4 linked regions of the Kluyveromyces lactis genome follow. The main gene of each other region encodes a partner of the protein of the gene in region 3 in a complex. Links are inferred from orthologs where the notes say so. Each region holds a gene or a part of one and is shown on either strand. Other genes may lie near its edges.

Evidence for each region.
Region 1: the proteins of VID28 (region 3) and GID8 are in contact, whole or in part, in a cryo-EM structure (PDB 7NS3), measured with the Saccharomyces cerevisiae proteins. The link is inferred for Kluyveromyces lactis from reciprocal best matches to the Saccharomyces cerevisiae genes VID28 and GID8. Residues at the interface, in NP_012247.3 of Saccharomyces cerevisiae: Asn15, Leu17, Val18, Gly19, Asp20, Gln21, Leu22, Lys24, Asp56, Tyr59, Thr60, His63, Gln68, Phe77, Asp78, Ser81, Lys106, Ala112, Tyr115, Pro116, Asn117, Cys118, Gly119, Phe120, Leu123, Ser141, Cys143, Lys144, Ile145, Val148; in NP_013854.1 of Saccharomyces cerevisiae: Glu151, Asn154, Leu159, Glu160, Leu162, Glu163, His194, Asn232, Ile236, Lys237, His299, Pro300, Arg301, Gln303, Phe304, Ser307, Asn308, Lys322, Ile323, Ile324, Phe328, Thr329, Val330, Tyr331, Asn332, Asn334, Leu335, Val336, Asn337, Gly338.
Region 2: the proteins of VID28 (region 3) and GID12 are in contact, whole or in part, in a cryo-EM structure (PDB 7WUG), measured with the Saccharomyces cerevisiae proteins. The link is inferred for Kluyveromyces lactis from reciprocal best matches to the Saccharomyces cerevisiae genes VID28 and GID12. Residues at the interface, in NP_012247.3 of Saccharomyces cerevisiae: Gln786, Tyr787, Ala788, Gly854, Glu856, Phe857, Val858, Arg859, Thr860, Ala863; in NP_010105.1 of Saccharomyces cerevisiae: Arg24, Phe26, Arg32, Leu33, Leu35, Glu640, Ile641, Lys658, Leu659, Cys660, Asp661, Ser662, Leu663, Lys664, Leu665, Asn666, Arg667, Arg670.
Region 4: the proteins of VID28 (region 3) and FYV10 are in contact, whole or in part, in a cryo-EM structure (PDB 7NS3), measured with the Saccharomyces cerevisiae proteins. The link is inferred for Kluyveromyces lactis from reciprocal best matches to the Saccharomyces cerevisiae genes VID28 and FYV10. Residues at the interface, in NP_012247.3 of Saccharomyces cerevisiae: Asp70, Ile71, Val72, Gly73, Thr74, Tyr75, Phe77, Asp78, Leu445, Asp448, Phe449, Ile456, Thr459, Thr460, Ser463, His464, Leu468, Pro469, Pro470, Ile471, Tyr472, Phe528; in NP_012169.1 of Saccharomyces cerevisiae: Lys305, Ile308, Phe309, His311, Phe312, Phe313, His314, Lys315, Leu317, Pro318, Arg319, Ile320, Thr321, Ser322.

Annotation. Positions count from the first base shown.
Region 1 is NC_006042.1:1,569,516-1,573,192, forward strand, and holds GID8 (glucose-induced degradation complex subunit GID8), read left to right. Parts: upstream 1-1,774; coding exon 1,775-2,836; downstream 2,837-3,677. Other genes in the region: GAT2 (Gat2p), read right to left, coding at 1-852; ERG29 (Erg29p), read right to left, coding at 2,926-3,648. UniProt on the Saccharomyces cerevisiae protein: Component of the GID E3 ligase complex recruiting N termini and catalyzing ubiquitination of proteins targeted for degradation.
Region 2 is NC_006042.1:560,450-565,331, forward strand, and holds GID12 (Gid12p), read left to right. Parts: upstream 1-1,809; coding exon 1,810-3,840; downstream 3,841-4,882. Other genes in the region: KLLA0_F05775g (aldo-keto reductase superfamily protein), read left to right, coding at 1-750; KLLA0_F05797g (uncharacterized protein), read right to left, coding at 944-1,465; SNA4 (Sna4p), read right to left, coding at 4,004-4,417. UniProt on the Saccharomyces cerevisiae protein: Regulator of the GID E3 ligase complex. Modulates both assembly of the substrate receptor GID4 into the GID E3 ligase complex and its activity toward its substrates.
Region 3 is NC_006040.1:1,338,532-1,343,659, reverse strand, and holds VID28 (glucose-induced degradation complex subunit VID28), read right to left. Parts: upstream 3,520-5,128; coding exon 676-3,519; downstream 1-675. Other genes in the region: MET10 (sulfite reductase subunit alpha), read right to left, coding at 1-345; SNL1 (Snl1p), read left to right, coding at 4,028-4,654. UniProt on the Saccharomyces cerevisiae protein: Component of the GID E3 ligase complex recruiting N termini and catalyzing ubiquitination of proteins targeted for degradation.
Region 4 is NC_006041.1:763,957-768,176, forward strand, and holds FYV10 (glucose-induced degradation complex subunit FYV10), read right to left. Parts: upstream 2,449-4,220; coding exon 1,042-2,448; downstream 1-1,041. Other genes in the region: BMT5 (25S rRNA (uracil2634-N3)-methyltransferase), read left to right, coding at 46-1,017; AVT7 (Avt7p), read right to left, coding at 2,922-4,220. UniProt on the Saccharomyces cerevisiae protein: Component of the GID E3 ligase complex recruiting N termini and catalyzing ubiquitination of proteins targeted for degradation.

The sequences.
Region 1 (3,677 bases), on a different chromosome or scaffold from region 3:
CTGTGAAACGCTGTTGCGTTTCCTTGGTTTGACTTTATCTACTTTAAAAGTATGACTTGTTCCTCCGATGGAACTATCGCTTTTACTGCCTCTATGTCCAACAACTTGAATGACCGGCTTTTCCATCTTAGTGTTGGTAGCTGCGGTTGGGATTTCTACTTCAGATTTTCTTACTGTGACGTTGAAAACATTTTTACTCCTGGGTCTCATTGGGAATTGAAACTCTGTCATTGGCTTTTGTAGCTCGTTTCTAAGCTGATTAATACTAGGGAGTTGCGGTTTTTTCCTGTTCCAATCGTTCATGTTCTTCAACTCTAACAACCTATTCGTAACCTTTAACATAGATCTTGTTTCGTTGGAAAGTTGGGTGAGATCATTGACCAAAACATCCTTAATCTTCTGGGAACTCCATGTCAGCAAATGAAATGTCAACTGTTCATTGTACTCTGATAGTCTTTTCAAAATCCGTTTGAATTCTTCTTGATTCATATCCTGGTCGATCGCAGTGTCAGCCAAAAAATCAAGGGATCCACTTCTATAGTGACCACCGTAATGGTAGTCCCTTTGACGAGGACTAATTTGCGGTGACGAATTTGACGACGAAAGAAAATTTCCTGTCGTTGAAACGGTAATGTTTGTTTGTGACGTCTTGTTTGTCCGAATACTCGAATCGTTCTGCCTGTCGTAGTTCAATAGATTTGGGATGGAAGCAACACTATGGTAGCTGACACTTTGGGATAATGATTGAGGTGTTCTCGATGTAGGAGTTGCAGATGATGAAATAGAACCAGATTTGGGACTTTGGGACCCCTTTTGTGCCAGCGACGCTGTCATAGTTTCCATGAATGTCATAATAACAATTATACTGACTAGCCGTATGTCTATTTATGTGTATGTGTGATAAGCAATGTTGAACGAATATATTATTCAAAATGATATCGACTGTGTCTTGGCAAAAAAATTTGGTTTGGCTCTGTGGTTCTATTTTGTTATTTCAATTGAATGATAATGAGATTGCAATCTAACGAGTTACCTCTCTGTTAGTTTCGAATCTACTCTTGGCCTTAAATACCTGGCTTATTTGATGTTCGAAGAACTCGGAAAAGTACGCATATATTTATATCATTTCATTTTTGTATAGATCATTTCAGTTCCTTAATTTGATTTGACACTTTTTTGTCATCAGAATCTAAGTAAGTTTCAATTTAGAATATAGAAACGGCTTGGATTGCCTCCTCCATTTCATTATTGATCCTAAACCAATGAATATTGAAACTGTAAAGTTTTTAAATCTGTGTTATGCCCTCGATATGTCTACTGTTTTGTATATTACTACGTAAAATGTCGACTATAGCTGCTATGAGTGACATCTCATGAATCGTTTCCCTCTACTTGAAAGATACAAAAAAAAGAGTCCAGATTCAAGAAGATTTAAATTGAGAAGTTTCTCGATTACTGTTATCTGAAGCTACAAACCACGATTTGATATCTACATGAACTCCTTTTCTTTTCAGAATTGATCTGTCCCATTTCCTCGTCGTCAGAGGCCTGTTCCCTTATTTATTCACAAAGGTTTTTCACGAAATGAACCTTAACATCACTTAGTAAAGAAACTGGGCATTATCAACAGAAAAACAAAAAAATGAGCACCTAATTGTAAGTTGAAAGTGAGACTTCCTTAGCCCCTAATATTGAAAGAAAGAGTGGTACTATACTATTTGCGCTAAGCATAAGCCAATCTAGTTTTCCCTAGACTTATTGCTTCATACAAACGATGACCAATTTTAAATCTACCTATGAGAAGAAATCTTTCACTAGAGAACAATGGATGAAAGTGGTGCAGGACGCCAATCCCTATGATCGCAGCAACAGTGAGTTGTCGAATAATGAGCCGGTAATACCAATGTTATTATTGAACTATTTTGTGGTGATGGCATATGAGGAATCTAGTATCCGCATGGCTAAGGAGCTTGGGTTTTTGAATTCCAACAAAGACATTGAAGAATTCAACTCTGTATATATGATTAAGAAAAGGGCATACATCAAGGAACTTATCAAGAAGGGTGAAATTTTACTAGCTATGGAAAAGATTACCGAGGTATTTGGAATAGAGGTACTCGAAAGTTTGAATGACCATATTACAGATGAAGATTTGAACTTCAAGCTATTGTTGTTGAACCTTATTGAAATGATTCGTTCCCACAACGCCAAGGGCGACCCTAACGATCAGGAGCAGTTTATATTAGAGCTTATCTCTTATGCTCAGGATAAACTTGCTTTGAAAGCAAGCTCCAAAAAAGAGTATATGAAGGAAGTCGAATTAGTTATGACCCTTCTTCTCTTCCCGTTATCGGATGAGGATGGTTCGAGTCCTTCTGCTAAGTTACCAAAGAAGTTGAAACAGCTATATTCCTTAAATATGAGAACTAAAGTAGCTGATCTAGTGAACAGAAAGCTTTTGCAATCGATATTACCGAGGATAAACTCTCAACTCGAAAAATCTGGTTTACCTGACATCTTAGGATCCAGCTTCCAATCAAATCGAGTTCCCACTCTAACAAACGTTATACGATCCATTCCAAGGGAATCTATCACGACAGAAAGGCTTACCGGAGAGCTAGCACATATTGAAGAAAAGCAGGGAAGTTCTATGAGCACCAATTCCGACATGAGTCGCATACAAGGTGAAATCTTTGAAGAGTTAGGTGAGAACTTGCATTCTTATTATATCCCTAACGACGTTAGATTGGTACAAATCATGAAACTTTGGGTTTGGTGTGAAAACCAATTGCATAGTTCGGATGTTGGTGTTCCGAGGGTTGAAGGAGTGATTTAGTGCAAAATCTATAATCTTTTATACTATATATGCATGGGTTCCCTATATTCACATTATGTTTTCAAGCATTTAACGGCAGCTTGCAATTTTCACACCAAAAACTCACAGTCTATAGTGTCACCAGTTTCCATCTTTAAGAAACACAATTGAATATCGTCGAGGTTTTTTGGAAGTTCCTCGCTCATGGTGTTGTAGATTTTTACATTTTTGGTAATGGTGAAGGTTTTGCTTGGCTGTTTGAACTGATCATAAAAGTGACCATCTTTAAAGAAGTGATAAAGTTTTGATTTTAATAGCCTTAATGTACAACCAAACTCTGGTCTTTTTTCATTTTCGAATTCTTCTGGTGAGAATTCAATGTGGAATGTGATTGGATTATCCAACAGAAGCTTTTTGGTATCTTCGTCGATAACTTGGCATCTAACGTATATGTGAGCGACATGCACAGGTTTGGCAAAGAACTTTTCCCTCGATTCGAACTCCTCGATTATGAGACCGGATTTTTCATCAAACCATTCTGTGGCATGGTACGAATCGTCATGTATGAATCGATGGTTTCTAATAAAATCTTCGTCCAATTTAGTGCTGTTCAATTGTTCCCATGTATCCATTTGTAAGGCACTCATTTGAATTGTTATGTAGAGTTCATTCACAAGAGCAAATCCTCCCATCACCACAAGAAAAAGTGTTATTCGGGCACTTAGCGGGTCATCAGTGTATTGTTTAAGAAAGTTTACTTTTCTGATCCAAGCGATCATAATGCTTTCCAATTGCAAATAGTGACGCAGCACCGTCGCGCGTAATTCCTCCATATTGGCCTTTTCAGGTCTTATAAAGTTAT
Region 2 (4,882 bases), on a different chromosome or scaffold from region 3:
GCAGAGATATACAGAACTTATCCTGAATTGGGTGCCGCTTTGAAGGATACAAAGAAGCCAAGAGATGAAATCTTCATCACTGACAAGTATTCTACTTTGAAACAGCTTTCTGAGAACCCTAAAGTTGCCTTAGAGACATCATTGAAGAAGCTCGGTGTTGATTACGTGGACTTGTATCTATTGCACTCTCCTATAATTAAGGAAAGCAAATTGGATGTCGAGGCTAATTGGAAGTATTTGGAAGAACTATACAAGTCTGGAAAGGCTAAGAACATCGGTGTTTCAAACTTTGCTGTAAAAGATTTGGAGAAATTGCTTGCAGTGGCAGAGGTTAAACCGCAGGTGAACCAAATTGAATTCTCTCCATTCTTGCAAAATCAAACTCCCGGTATTGTTGAATTCAGTCAAAAGAATGGTATTTTACTTGAGGCCTACTCACCATTAGGTCCTTTGCAAAGAAGACCAGAAGATGCTGATAAGCTACCTTTTTACCAATATATCGCTGAATTGTCAAAGAAGTATAACAAGAGTGAGGCTCAAATCTTGTTATCATGGGTCTATGAGCGTGGAATCTTGCCAGTAACTACGTCTTCGAAGATCGAAAGGATCCAACAAGCGCAAGATATCTTTAGTTTTTCTTTGGCTAATGAGGAAGTCCAAAAGATCACTCAATTGGGTTTGCAACATCCAGCTTTGAGATTATACTGGACTGACGTATACTCAAAATACGATTCTGAATCCCAGAAGTGATTATTCCATCTCAGTATGTTATGTCAATGAACACTGGCTCTGAGAGCACACATCTTTTTAATAGGCTTGTTAAACATCTGTTGACTATATTTACAAGTATTGCTTTACGTGATACTATTCCTTTAGGATAATGTCGTATATACATATTTTCGTTTGCAGAATGAGGTTCATATAGGAAACTTTTAAAATATAGTTAAGGCAAGAACTTCCCTTTCTTCAAGCTTTCCACAGCTGTGGTTGAAATATGTCGGAATCTAGCGGGCCCCAATGCTGTCCCACCGTACCATCTTGTAACAACAACTAAAACATTAGCAATATGACTTCTTTCTAACAAGGTTAAAAGTCTTTGTCCTGCACCAGCCTCACCACAGTCATTTGATCCTTGTTGTATATTCTTTAACATTGCCGGCCCTGTCAGTTCACCAGGCACTGTCAATGAACCCCTTTTCCTCTTCTTATTTCCTTTCTTATTGTGCTCGGGGGGTATAATATCTGCCGTTCTCCATGCATACATATGCTTGTGCGTTGCCTTTTGGACGGCCTTATTTTTTTCCACTAATACCTCCAGTAACTTATCAACTTCAGACAGGTTCTTGATAGCATGGCACCTTGCTTGAAACTTGGATTTTCTATCTACCAAAACTTCGGATTCGTTCCACCCTATACCTGTCATGTATCTTCTGGTAATTCTTAGATAACTATAAGATCGTAGCATAAGATGTCGACCTTTACCATAAGTATCAAATCGCCGATGTATATTAATTTCTGTCCACCTGCTTGAATAGATGTGTGACCTCCTCGATTGAGCACGCTCCGCATGTGTTCATGACAGTATTGGGGTCTAGATAACCTTCATAATTTTACGTTGTTGTGTTCTCTGCTGCTTATGAATTTCTATATCGTCTGTCCTTTTATATCGAAGATTTAGCGATGAGGTTTTAGTCTTTCAATTTCACAAAACTCAATAGATGAACGTTATTCAGTCGAACTAAGACGTTTAAGTGAAAACACCCAGAAGGTGGAACGCTATCCTTATAATATCCAGCCAAGATTACCTGAATGCAATCGAATTTCACCTTTTTGGTTTCACAACCATCATGTTCGAAGACAACTCCTTCAGGTTACCGAGCTTTCCAATGTAAAGATGACAGGATCCATCCTTTGAAGGTAAACACCAAAAATCGGGCTGCTGATACCAATAGCATAATACAAAAGTTCTGTTATCTACGACCAAGGAGTATGCCTATTGTACCGACATCAAAATATCTGCACAATCAAGAGCATTCAGACTTTCTTTTGGTTGCAAGGAATAATGGCATAATCGAAATAATAAAGGACTACAATTTTAAGGTAACCAATAACGTTCCTTTACGACCAGATTTTCTACTATTTTGCGTACCAATGACTTCGAGTATAACTACAAATGATACAACCATTGTTGGTTTAGAGTATAAAGATAAGTTTCTATATGTATGTTCTGCGGTTGGTGACATATTTGGGTTCATATTGAACTTACCAGACGATTACGTTCAAGACGAAGAATTTCAAGCATCACCTTCCTATAAACGGTATAGAGATTCTTTCTCTTGGAGATCGGACATAGTACAATCTTCTGACGCAACAGCTGCAGAACGGAGCTTAAAAGAAATCACTCGATTCAGAAAAGAACATAGTTGTGGCCACATTTGTTATTATTGTTATCCTATCAATGAAGACGGATTCTTCCATGAAACGATAAAACAATGGTATCCCGACCCTGTACCGACATTTTCAAATTGTTTTGTTACGTTTTTGAGGACAGATGTTAGCTCATTTCATATCAACCCGATGGACAGATTCAGTGTCATCACCGTGGCACCGCAGACGCCGTTAACAATTCACAAAATACTCTTACCTGAGGTGTATACGACATTCTTCTCAGAATTTGTAAAGCTTAAAGATGAGTACTTCTCCAAAAAGCACAGAAGGGTTTCAGAACCTTCCAGTTTTGATTTTATGTCAAGAGCGGTTCATGGGACAGCTTTTCAAGAATATTTGAAGAGAGATCGTTCAAGCTTTGTCATGGAACAAGATGTTAGGGTATGGAGGGGAATGCTGGTTTGCGATATGGTTTGTGAATTCAAATGCTCCTCCGTTTGGAGGCAAAAACAAGGTAATATGAAAGATGGCTTACATGAATTGTTCTTTTATGACAAAAAACAAGAAGCAAATAATCGCAATGAAAGCGATTCTGTTGCTAGAAATGAAACTGTAGTCGACTTGGAGCTGGATTCCCAATCATTCTCATTACTTGGAGTTTCTACCGAGATATTAGATAATCATACCCAACACCAATCTAATATAACACAAACTGAACGGTTTCTAAAATTCTTGCGGAAACAGACGTTCCCTATAAATTTCCAAGTGGTAAAGACAGTAAGCCTCGACGGTGAAACAAATTCGACAGGGTATGAAGCTGCAACTTCTTTTCTTACAGATACTTACAGAGATATGGATGTTGTTGTTGTGGACAAATTTTTAAGTGTAAACGCTTTTCGTCCTAAATACGTGGACGAGCCTCTGATGAAGTTAGATTCAATACATGACTATCTGGAAGTAAATGAAGAAGACAGAGATGCTCATGTAGCTTTAAATAATCTCTCCTCATTCATCAAGTTTTTCATGCTTACTGATTCCCTTTGCATGATTTGGGATATCAATGGAATATTGTTGGTGGATAGATTTCAGCTAAGAAGTACAAGGAATCTACTACATAACGATGTCGGGGCTGTTAAAGTAATAAACTTCCGTGTAGGAATAGTGAATGATATTGGGTTAGTTTTAAATCAGTTCAAACAAGATGGTTCTGACTATTATATTGAGTTTTATTCCATCTTAACAACGTTAACGGGAGATATCGCACTACTGAGGGGTGAATTCAAAGTTGGCCAACGATTAGGTACTATGAAGATATTAGATAGTTTGAGAACGCAACAATCGGATAACTTTGTTGACCAAATATTGATTACAAACTACTCACTATCCAATAAAAGAGACGCTGGAATGGTAATTCCTGAGGTTTTTAAAATGAATAAAAGATCCAAAACTTAGAAGTCTTTCAACAATGTAAGTCAAAATAATCTATACGTTTACGTGAATAGCAGCTAATATAAACCCTAATTAATATAATGGTAATCCTTGTAGAAGATGTACAACAATCATGAAATAGCAGAAGTAAAAAAAAAATGAGGTGCTGATAATTAACCGCCCCTAATCATACACTTTCTGTGTATGGTGGGGGAGAACCCTTTGGCACATCCTGAGCGTAGTTATTTGGTTCATATCTTAGAGGAATCTGAGTTCTTGGCAATAGAGGATCTTCTACACCAGTGGGTTGATGAGAAACGGTCGTTACCGCAGATGGGCTTCCATATCTTTGTCCGTCATTCCACCCTTGCTCATAATAATAACGTGTTTCGGTATCCGTCCTTAGCGGTGACGTGACGGTAATATAATAAAAAGCATGAATCATTCCAGGGAGGAACCCAAACATAGTTAGCAACACGTTTAATAGTAAGTCACTGGAACATAAACCCGATCTCAATCCCACGGCAATCGGTGGGAATATTATGGCAACAATATAAAGTATCAAATCTGATACAGTACAGCAGATACAGCACAGACACATGTTTCAAAAGCTTTTGATAATACACTGCTGGGAGTATAAGGGAAACCTACGAGGCTCTTCTTCTGTATCCCAATGTTGTGAATTGAGATGATTAATAGGTATGATTCATTGTTCAAATTTTGACAATTATCAACTAAAGAAAACTATGGGAAACGCCATACATATGACAAAAATGATTGAAGCCACATAGACCATTTGTGAATGCTTATACCGAAACAAGTACAGGCTTTTGAAAGCCAGTAGCGAATGTATATCTTGACACCCCTTTGACAAGCTATATCTCGTTATCTAAATCAACATGGAAGGAAAATGAAGTCACATGGTAAATTAAGTATACACGTACATCTTAGAATTTTTGTTTTTCTGTAGTGATATGCTTTGGATGATAGTTGATTGATTAATCGCCTGATGAGGGATCGTTGATATCAAACAATATAACGAATATAATATAATAATCTATTTAGT
Region 3 (5,128 bases):
CTGGGTGTCGATTTCTTGTTTGAAACTGCTGACGAAATAAGGCAAAGCATAACCTGGAGTGATAATACCAGCAAGGTCGGAAGAACCCTTAGCAAAACCCAAAGTAGTCAAGCCTGCACCTGATCTTACGTCCAATTCCTTAAAGAACAAACCGTTCTCTCTTTCAGCTAACTTTTTGATAGAAGCATCCAATAAATCAGGGTCTGAGAATGTTTTGTAACTGAAAATACTCTTCAGATTTCTGAACAACACAGAGTTAATTGCATTCACTGGTGTTGTGAAAGTTGGCAACTGAGTGCTCTCAGTTGGAAGACCAAATGGATTGGTCACATATGATAAAGACATTGCGTTTGCGTTGTCAATGTGATTGATGCTGCCTTTAGCTAGAACAAACTATCCTACCATTAAAAACTTATCGATGCAGTAACACACAAAAACACTTTCTACCTTTATATAGTTCTAACGTAAATACTGAATGTTACATCGCTGGAAAAAGCTTTTTCCTATAGAAGACTTGCCCCGGTCCTGTGAAGCTCTCTCAGGTGCACGCTCACTAAGCTTCGAGAGTTTCGCTTAGTTCGATTTCTTTTTCGTCATTTGAATCATAGAGCCACAATTGTGGGATATTGTCACGTGATTTTGCTTCATCAAATCACCTGAACAGGCGGAAGTGGCTCATGCATGTGGTGGAATAGTGGTCTTCCTGAACGTTTCCATTTGGTATAGTAGGGTCTTAGCACGTTCCTTTACGTCTAAATCGCCGTTCCAATCCAAGATTTTCTTTACTGCGTCATTGAAACCTAGCTTATCGAGCTTTTTGAACCTTATGATTGCTGGACTTAAAGCCGAAATGTTTCCAGTGGTAGTTGCTGGGCGGATGAAATCTTTATGAGGATCAGTTGAGTCCTCTTCTTCGTCATTACTTTGCTCCTCTTCGTCGAAATCACCTTCTCGCTCTTCTTGTTCTGGGACTTCTTCTTCTTCTGAAGACATGTTTGATGCTCGTGCATTTAATGGCATTCTAACGAGAGGATCATCGTTTCTGTCTTCGAGAGCTGAGCTGCTACCTTCTTGAAGGGCCCAGTCCGTGTCGAAGTGCGGGTTTCCGTTTTCTGGTAGAGAATTATTGTAAGGGACGTGCTGGATGGAGGAGTCCCATATTAGATTCGTGATTATCCAAAGACACGCTTTAGTAATTTCATCTCCCTTGGCCATTAAGATATATTCTTTCACGATATCTAGTAGTTCATCCTGGGAAATAACCAGGTTTCTCTTGTTTTCATTTATAGCGGTGAAATTGACCACTATATAGAGTAGTGCTTCAGCGATCTTATTGTCACTGTAATAACTGTCATCATGCAATACAGTTTTCAATTTCAAAGCTAAAAACCTTAGGAACTGGTTTCCCTGAGTACATGATTCATCTCTTCCACTGACTTCTCCACTGCCGTTATTTGTGTTCGCGAGCATATCTGTATGTTTGAAGGAATCTAATATCATGTTGATCACCTTCCTCGAATTACATGTCAAATTTCTCAACAATTGGAAACATTGATTTAGTACGCTGGGCTCAGCGGAATGCACAAATTGTAGGATTGATTCTAAGTCAATCTGAGATAACAATTCTAGTTTGTCGCATGTCTCTGAATTGTATATCAAATGCCTCAAGACCCAAAGGGAGTTCGTCTGGATGACCGTAATTTCGGAATAGACGCTTGCCTCGTTATGGAATACTATAATCGGATTCCCCTTTGCAAATTCTGGCATCAGGGCACGATCTAAATACTCAGAGTTGAATATAGGGTTGGTAAAAATGTGTTTAATCAATGCAATGATTCCGTTCTTTTTCATGAGCGTTCTTAAAGAAGAAAATTCGACAACAAAGTTTGACATTGCTCCTAACAATTCGCCTAGTAATATTAGCTCTTGGCATAAGAGGTGCGGAATTCCACCATCATACGTCATTGAAACGATTTCATAAATCTCTCTTGCTAATTTTAGAGTATAATCTGCTAGCTTATTTCTCTTCAACGATGTCCTTAAAACTCCCACACTTCTGGAGCAAGCCTTCAAGCACTTTGCCCAATTAGTAACTAATTCAGAATCAAAAAGCGGTGGTAAGGGTGCCATGTTCCTCAATTGTGTCCAATCCTCACGGAAATTGTTCAAGATTAGCAAGTGTGAACTGAATGCGTTCTCCATATATTGTAAAACCGCGATGTTCTCCAAAAACAATAGCCTACACCTTTCATCCTTACCTATAATTTCAGAAAAGAACTTTAGATAATCAGAAAGCAGTTGAAGTTTGTTGGTGTCTTGTTTCTCCAGGCTCAATAGTCTTAAAAAAGTGTCTATCATACCATTCAATAGATTCGAATCGAAAAATGTGTCAATCACAACATTTTCCGGTTTATGTGCGACAGTGAACTCTGTTGCTAGAGAACAAAGGATTTCTAAAGGGGAGAAAAATATTGGTAGCTCAGGTTCATTCAAAGTCGATATGAGAGTAGGTAACCATAGTTTTATCGGGAAGGGCAAGTTGCTATCCGTATTTGAGCCGAAATCACTTCTATTTTCCGAGTACCAAGAATCTCCAAGTTGACAATAGAAGAATGATAAAGCCGACGTTTTCAATCTTATATCAGGGTGTCTTAATAATGAAGCATAGAACACATTGACCTTCATATCCGCCAAGAAAGAGAACTGGTTTCCACCATTCGATTGCAATACTGTTAACAAGTTTGATATCACAAAAATCAATTGAACGTCAAAAAGGTCGCTAATATGCAAGCATTGCGGTAGGGATTCAAATGGTTGAATCTTTTGTTCACTTCCCGCTGAGCCCCTGCTCTTATTCATGAGCTGCGCACCGGTGTTGTTAGGATCGTAGAACACATCATAGTCCATGTCATATGACTCCTTGGCTGAAGTAACCATAGCGTATTTGAAATTGACTTTGGGCACATATTTATCCACATAGAAATTAAACACATCCCTCAAAATCAGCACTAGGTCCTGACTTGTCATTACAAATGGCAATGTGGATAAGTATGTCATATATTCCAATACGATTTCTCTGTATATAGATTCATCGGTCCGTATGAGACGCTCAGCTGCAAGCTTAAAGAAACTCAAAGGTTCCACATAATAGAATTCTTGGAAGAAGAACTGCTCATTTGTTTCCGCCTCCGTGCAGTTCTCTACACAGATTCTCCTTAGCTTGACATACTTAGCAATATCCTCAATCATGGAGTCATTTGGAATCTGCATCTCTAATACCCTAACAAAGATCTCCGTTCCATATTTTCCAAGCTCCCTGCAGCTGCCCTTGTCTAAGTGAGATAGAATCAATAAGACATCCAATTTTAAGGAAAGATAGTGTTTGTAGTCTATGATAGCATCAAACAAGTCCCTGTGATCTTTGTAGAAGTTGAATTTGGCACTTTGGTCACCGATGAGGCCCTTGCGAAGCTCCAAAAGCACCTGCTTCGTGACTCTCTGACGTTGCTGAGTAACCATTGTTGTCTTATTTTGCACTCTGGCCACCGCGCGGTTGTCTTTTGAAGACACCCTTATTCACTCTTTCACAGGTTCGAACTATGTCAAATCCCTTAACCGTGAATGTAGATATATGATGGAATAGCGTTCTTGGGCAAAACTACAAATAAAGGCAGAAAGGATACAACTTATGGTGCGATCTCACTAGTCGGGGGTGTTAGGATAGACGGATGGTACTAGGTAAGCGATTGATATGTGTATTTACGTATTTTGCTACGACTATGAGGAGAGATAGGAGGTTATTTGCTTACGGTCACGTTTATTGCACGTGATACGATAAACGAACATGCATAAATACTGGAATGGGTACACTACGTCCAGTTTGAAGTTCCATGACTATCAGTAAGCAGTTTCACATGTCTATTTGGTATCCTTAACCTTCTGGTGATACACCTCAGTGTTATTGCATTCGAGATTTCTAACTAGCACTGTTTCACGCAGAGATATATATTGTTGATATTATCAACATATGATGAAAAGTTTCACGAGATCAAGCAACTTGACAAGACAAAGCTGCGAAGTCAGACAGGACTCTGTGGTATCTCATCAATTGGTAGATAGTTTCCCAGTGGCCATGGATAAATTACAAGAATACGCACATGCGTGCTTGGTTGATTTGAGAAGAATACATTCTCTGGAAGATGCCTACCAATCAATGACAGTTAGAGTGTCCGGTATAATGATAGTGACAGCATTAGTGCTATGGATCTCTAGTGGTACGACCAAAAAACCTCGTGGGAAGAAGTCTAGAAAGTCTAAGAAGGGAAAACATGCTGCTAAGAAGAGCCAAAAAGAGATTGAGAAGGAGAAGTTGAAGAACATGTCTGAAGAAGAAACCATCAAATACGTTCTCGATAAATTTACCAACGAATACGAAGAAGGCTTGCATAAGTTGTTGGAAAATTACGATTCTACGTCTGAAACCATGCAGTACCAACGTAATTTCTACAATGAAATGCTTTTACACCTTCTATTGGATTTAGATGGTGTTCATCTCGGTAACTTGGAAGGTGAAAAGAAGGAACAGGTGCGTTTGCAAAGAAAGGCTGCTATTAAAAAGATCCAATTAGAATTGAAGAAGTTGGATAAGCTGTAATGATTGATAGCAAACAATAGATTGATTGGTGGAGTTTTGCCAAATACTGAGACACAGCCAGAGCAAGAGAATAATGATCTCAAAAAACAACGAACAAAGCAACCCGTATAGTGTCGGTGGTTTAAGTAACCGTGTATACTAATCTTAATGAATGATTCAATTCAATCTAAACATTTACGGGAATTTACTGAGGGGAATTGGAGCGAGCAATATATTGTACTAATGGCTAGACCTCTCAATAGACCAGGTCACCCGAGTTCATTCCACAAACGACAAAACACTACAAGAGGATAGAGGACATACTTAACAGCTAGTTTCAGTTCCTGCAGTTCCTGCATTCTTAATAGGCAGCATCTCATATGCCACGATGATGATAGGTACAGGGTTCTCAAGTCGTTCTTCATTTCTGTTGTATGTTGTAATACTTATTGTGGTAACCAAATCAGGTAATTTGTATGACAGAAATTGAAACTA
Region 4 (4,220 bases), on a different chromosome or scaffold from region 3:
TTCTCTATCAACTAACTTTATCAAATTTTTTGCTGGCAAACTAAAATGGCACGGAAATTGAAGGGGAAGATATCATCCAAAGGACTTAAAGGTGCTTTGTTAAATCATCAAGCTAGAGAAGAAAGGGCCAAAAAGATTCAGCAACGAGAGAAACATGTGGCAGCTAAGGGTAAGCCGACTAAACAACCTTTAAGACAAAAGGAACAACAACAAGTGAGAGGGTCAGGATTTTTACCATTTTCTTCAGATTCAACTCTGTTCTTGGTTGGTGAGGGTGATTTTTCATTCGCGAAGAGCATTATTGAACAGCAATACATTCAACCAGAAAATCTTATTATAACCAGTTTTGACAGTGGAATCAAAGAGTTAAAGCTAAAGTATCCACATAGCTTCGAAGAAAACTACAATTTCCTTAAAGAGAATGAAGTCGTCATGCTGTTCGGGATCGATGCAACAAACTTAAAAAAATCTTTGAAGATCACGAAAAAGACTCCATGGCAGAAAGTAGTGGGGAATTCATGGACTACAAAGAAACTGGATTTCATCTTATTCAATTTTCCACATACAGGTCGTGGAATAAAAGATCAAGGCAGAAATATTCACGAACATCAACAATTGGTGTACAAATACTTTGATAGTTGTAAGCAGCTGTTCAGACTCGTAAACAGTAGCCAGATTATGTTAAACTCAAGCATTTCTATGGGTGGATACTCACTAAATAATGAAACTCGAGTTGATGATGAAGGTTATGGAAAAGTGGTTCTTTCTCTATTTAGTGGCGAACCATACGATTCATGGCAAATAAAAATACTAGCGAAAGATAACGGTTGGAAAGTGGATAGATCAGGGAAATTCGACTGGTCCAAGTTTCCAGGGTATCATCACAAGCGTACCAATAGTGAAATGGATACTACCAAACCAGCTGAGGAAAGAGATGCCAGAATGTACGTTTTCGAAATGTTCAATAAACGTAAACATTCCAAAAAACCTTTGAAAGACGACAGCGATGATGAATAAGAAAATACATATTCTCTATTATATCTAAGTAGGATACATTTTGATAAAGTCTGTTGTAGCATATATTGATTTATCAATAGGGTCCATCACTTGGTTTTCTTTAAGTTTAGTGTACCCCATTTTGTTTAGTTTTCGAGATAATGATATTAGCTTTTCAGAGTCGTAAATATTGCCATTTGGCAACATTACTGGATTTTCAAATAAACTCGATTGGATATGATGGGCAAATGGTAAGTTTTCAGATAGAGGGAATATGTCATGATTGCATACGGGACAATCTGTATTGACAACGTTAGATTTAATGTATTCATTTACTTCCGGATTTTCATGAGGGATTAGTTGCGCGGAAATGGTGTGACCACAATCCTTTGTTTTTAACGAAGAGATTCCTAAGGATATATATATTAATAGTGGATCGTGGTAAGATATTTTGTAGAGTGAGTAAAATTCATGTAGGAACATTTTATTCAAACTTTCCCATCTCTCGTGGTCCAATAATGGACCATATCGACATAATTCAGCATTGTGAACAACGTTACTAGAAGAAATTGATGACAACGGATGTGGTCGATACATTTGTTTTCTAAAATAGGCATGAAACAACTTTTGTTCGTTTGTTACTTCGTCGTCACGACCATTGTTGAGGCAGCTTTTGAAGAAAGCAAGAATACCCGCTGCCAGTTTTAGTTCTTTGGGATATATATTTGCGAAATGGGCAAGGTGTGTTTGGAAGCACCTGATTGCTGCTTTATAATCGGAACATCGTACTAATTCAATGTACTCCTGCAATAACGCTTGGAACTGTAAATGCGAACCTTTTTCTGTCAAGTGCGCAGAGTTATTTTCAATCCACTCTAATAGAGGACGAAGGTTTTTATTTTCTATAAGTTCCATAGATATCTGATTAGCTTCTATGAGAACTTCGTAATCAATCAAATCCTCTAATCCCCTAGTCTTTATAAACTCTATGCCAGAGTTTGATGCAATCTTGTTTTTATGATCTATAGAATTCGAACCATGCCTTACCAAATAATCGGCAATTAACAAATCCGTGTATGACCTGTACCATTTTAGAAGCTTGTCAGTGTTAGAATCATATTTGAATCTTTCAAACTGCTTGAAGTATTCTACTCTCTTCTCAATCCTTTCTAAAATTGTTAACTCATTATCATGTAGTTGCGATAGTCTCTTCTGCAAAATGTTCACTGTGTTGATTATATCATTCAATTTTTCTATTGATTGCTCATCCTTATTTGGATCTTCAAGTAAAGTGTTCAAAGTAGCGAATTGTCCCTGTAGCTCTACTGAATAGCTTGTATATAGGTTGTTGAATTTATCCCAGTTTCGCTTTAACAATTCGGAAGGAATGTTAAACTGCTGCTGGTTTAATTTTAGGTGAAAATCGACATTAGGTTCGTTTAACGAAGTCATAATGACATCTAAAGGCTTTTTGGTAGATTTACCGTCACCAGTATTACACTGATTGATCCAGTTTGTCAGTTATTTGGTTCATCCCTAAAGATTAAGGTATATTGTGAAAACCCCTTTCAATTTTCTTATGCAATTTGATGCAGAAATACAAAGATATAGTTACCATGAATGAAATACATCAACCGGTACGCTGGAAAAAAAAAATTGCTAAAGTCGAGTTGATGCAGTACCAACTGGAGGGTAGGAATATCAGGCGAAACATTACAGACGTTTGTTTATACACTGTTAGTGAAAAGATAAATACCAATGGCTAAGTGTTGCGCCTAAAGTTTAAGACCCAGAAAGCATCAAACAGACGAGGACAGAATATATTACATTTTAATAATTTTATTTAGAAAGCTCCTTGCTCATAATCTAGCCAAGAAAGAATGATTGGAACCATTGAATGATTTAACTGCGAGATGCTGAACTGGTCATACAAAAAGTGTGATATACACACAACTTACCATAATAATAAGACCGTACCAGACTAATGCCAGACTTCCATATCTGTGAGCTTTATCCCATCCTCCGATTCTCTCACCGTTCATCAAAGATTCAGTACCAATTAACTTCCACCCAAATAATCCTGGCAACGTGAATGAAATGGCTGTAGAACCAGTTGCACCAACAAGTGCAAGAACTAAAGCGAATGACTCAACGTTTAGCGCTAGAACGTATAGTACAGCAAGTAAGAAGAAAGTGACAGTCAAAAATCTGGAATCAGGGAATGGGACTGCTTCAGTGCGTTCATCAACCTGATCATCATTATCATCGTCGGTTGCCCTCGGTAGTGATTGGTACGTGTGGACAAATGAAGTGTCATGGGAGGAGCCTAGCTCTTGTTCGAGGTATTCTCTATCAGTATCATCCTCAATTTCCAGGGTAATAGGCCCTATCGTTTCATCTATTTCAGACTTTGTTCCATAGTTCAATTGTAACCAATGGACCATATTGTTCGCCGATATACGGCAAGGATGGAACAACAAGGGAAATGACAAAACAACCATCAGGCCAAGATTGAACCTAGCAAATCTGACAGAGAGCTTATCAGCATCATAGTTTAGTATGACATTTCCCAGAGTTTCTTTTCCGAAAGTCAAATATCCGAACAGCCCCAAGATTATGAAACAGGCGGATGATACTACGATGGAATTGTTTATGATCTTTTTGATATTTGTCATTGAATTTTCCTTCAATTCATTTATTATCGAAAATAGATTCATTGAACCAGTAAATGCAAATACAATAATACTAAATGTCGTCAAGACTCCAGATCTATCCGATATAGAGAACCAATCAACTTTGGGTTTTGGGTAATTTCCGAAGGAATAGCTTCCAATAATCAATAAACCAATGTAACCCAATGCCAACAGACCAATAACACTAGTATATTTCAAGCTATCAAAATGTCTTAATAAAGATAACGGAACGATAATGATTGCTGACAACAATATCCAGTTTGTCCTCGTGCCGCCAAATAACGCTGGGAATAAGTCACCAATTAAGATCAAATAAGAAAGAGCAACCCCAAAACATTGTATGAACATAGCAAAATCAAACAGCAAAGACAGATTAGGATATGTAATAGAACATAAAGTGAAAAAAGAAGAGTGACGTGGATTTAACAATGTCTTTGAGCATTTTGCTAGGATAAATAAGCCGTACCCTGATGTGAATGCAGCCATCAGTATCAAACTAACAGCAAAAAAAACCCCATCACAACGGAAAGC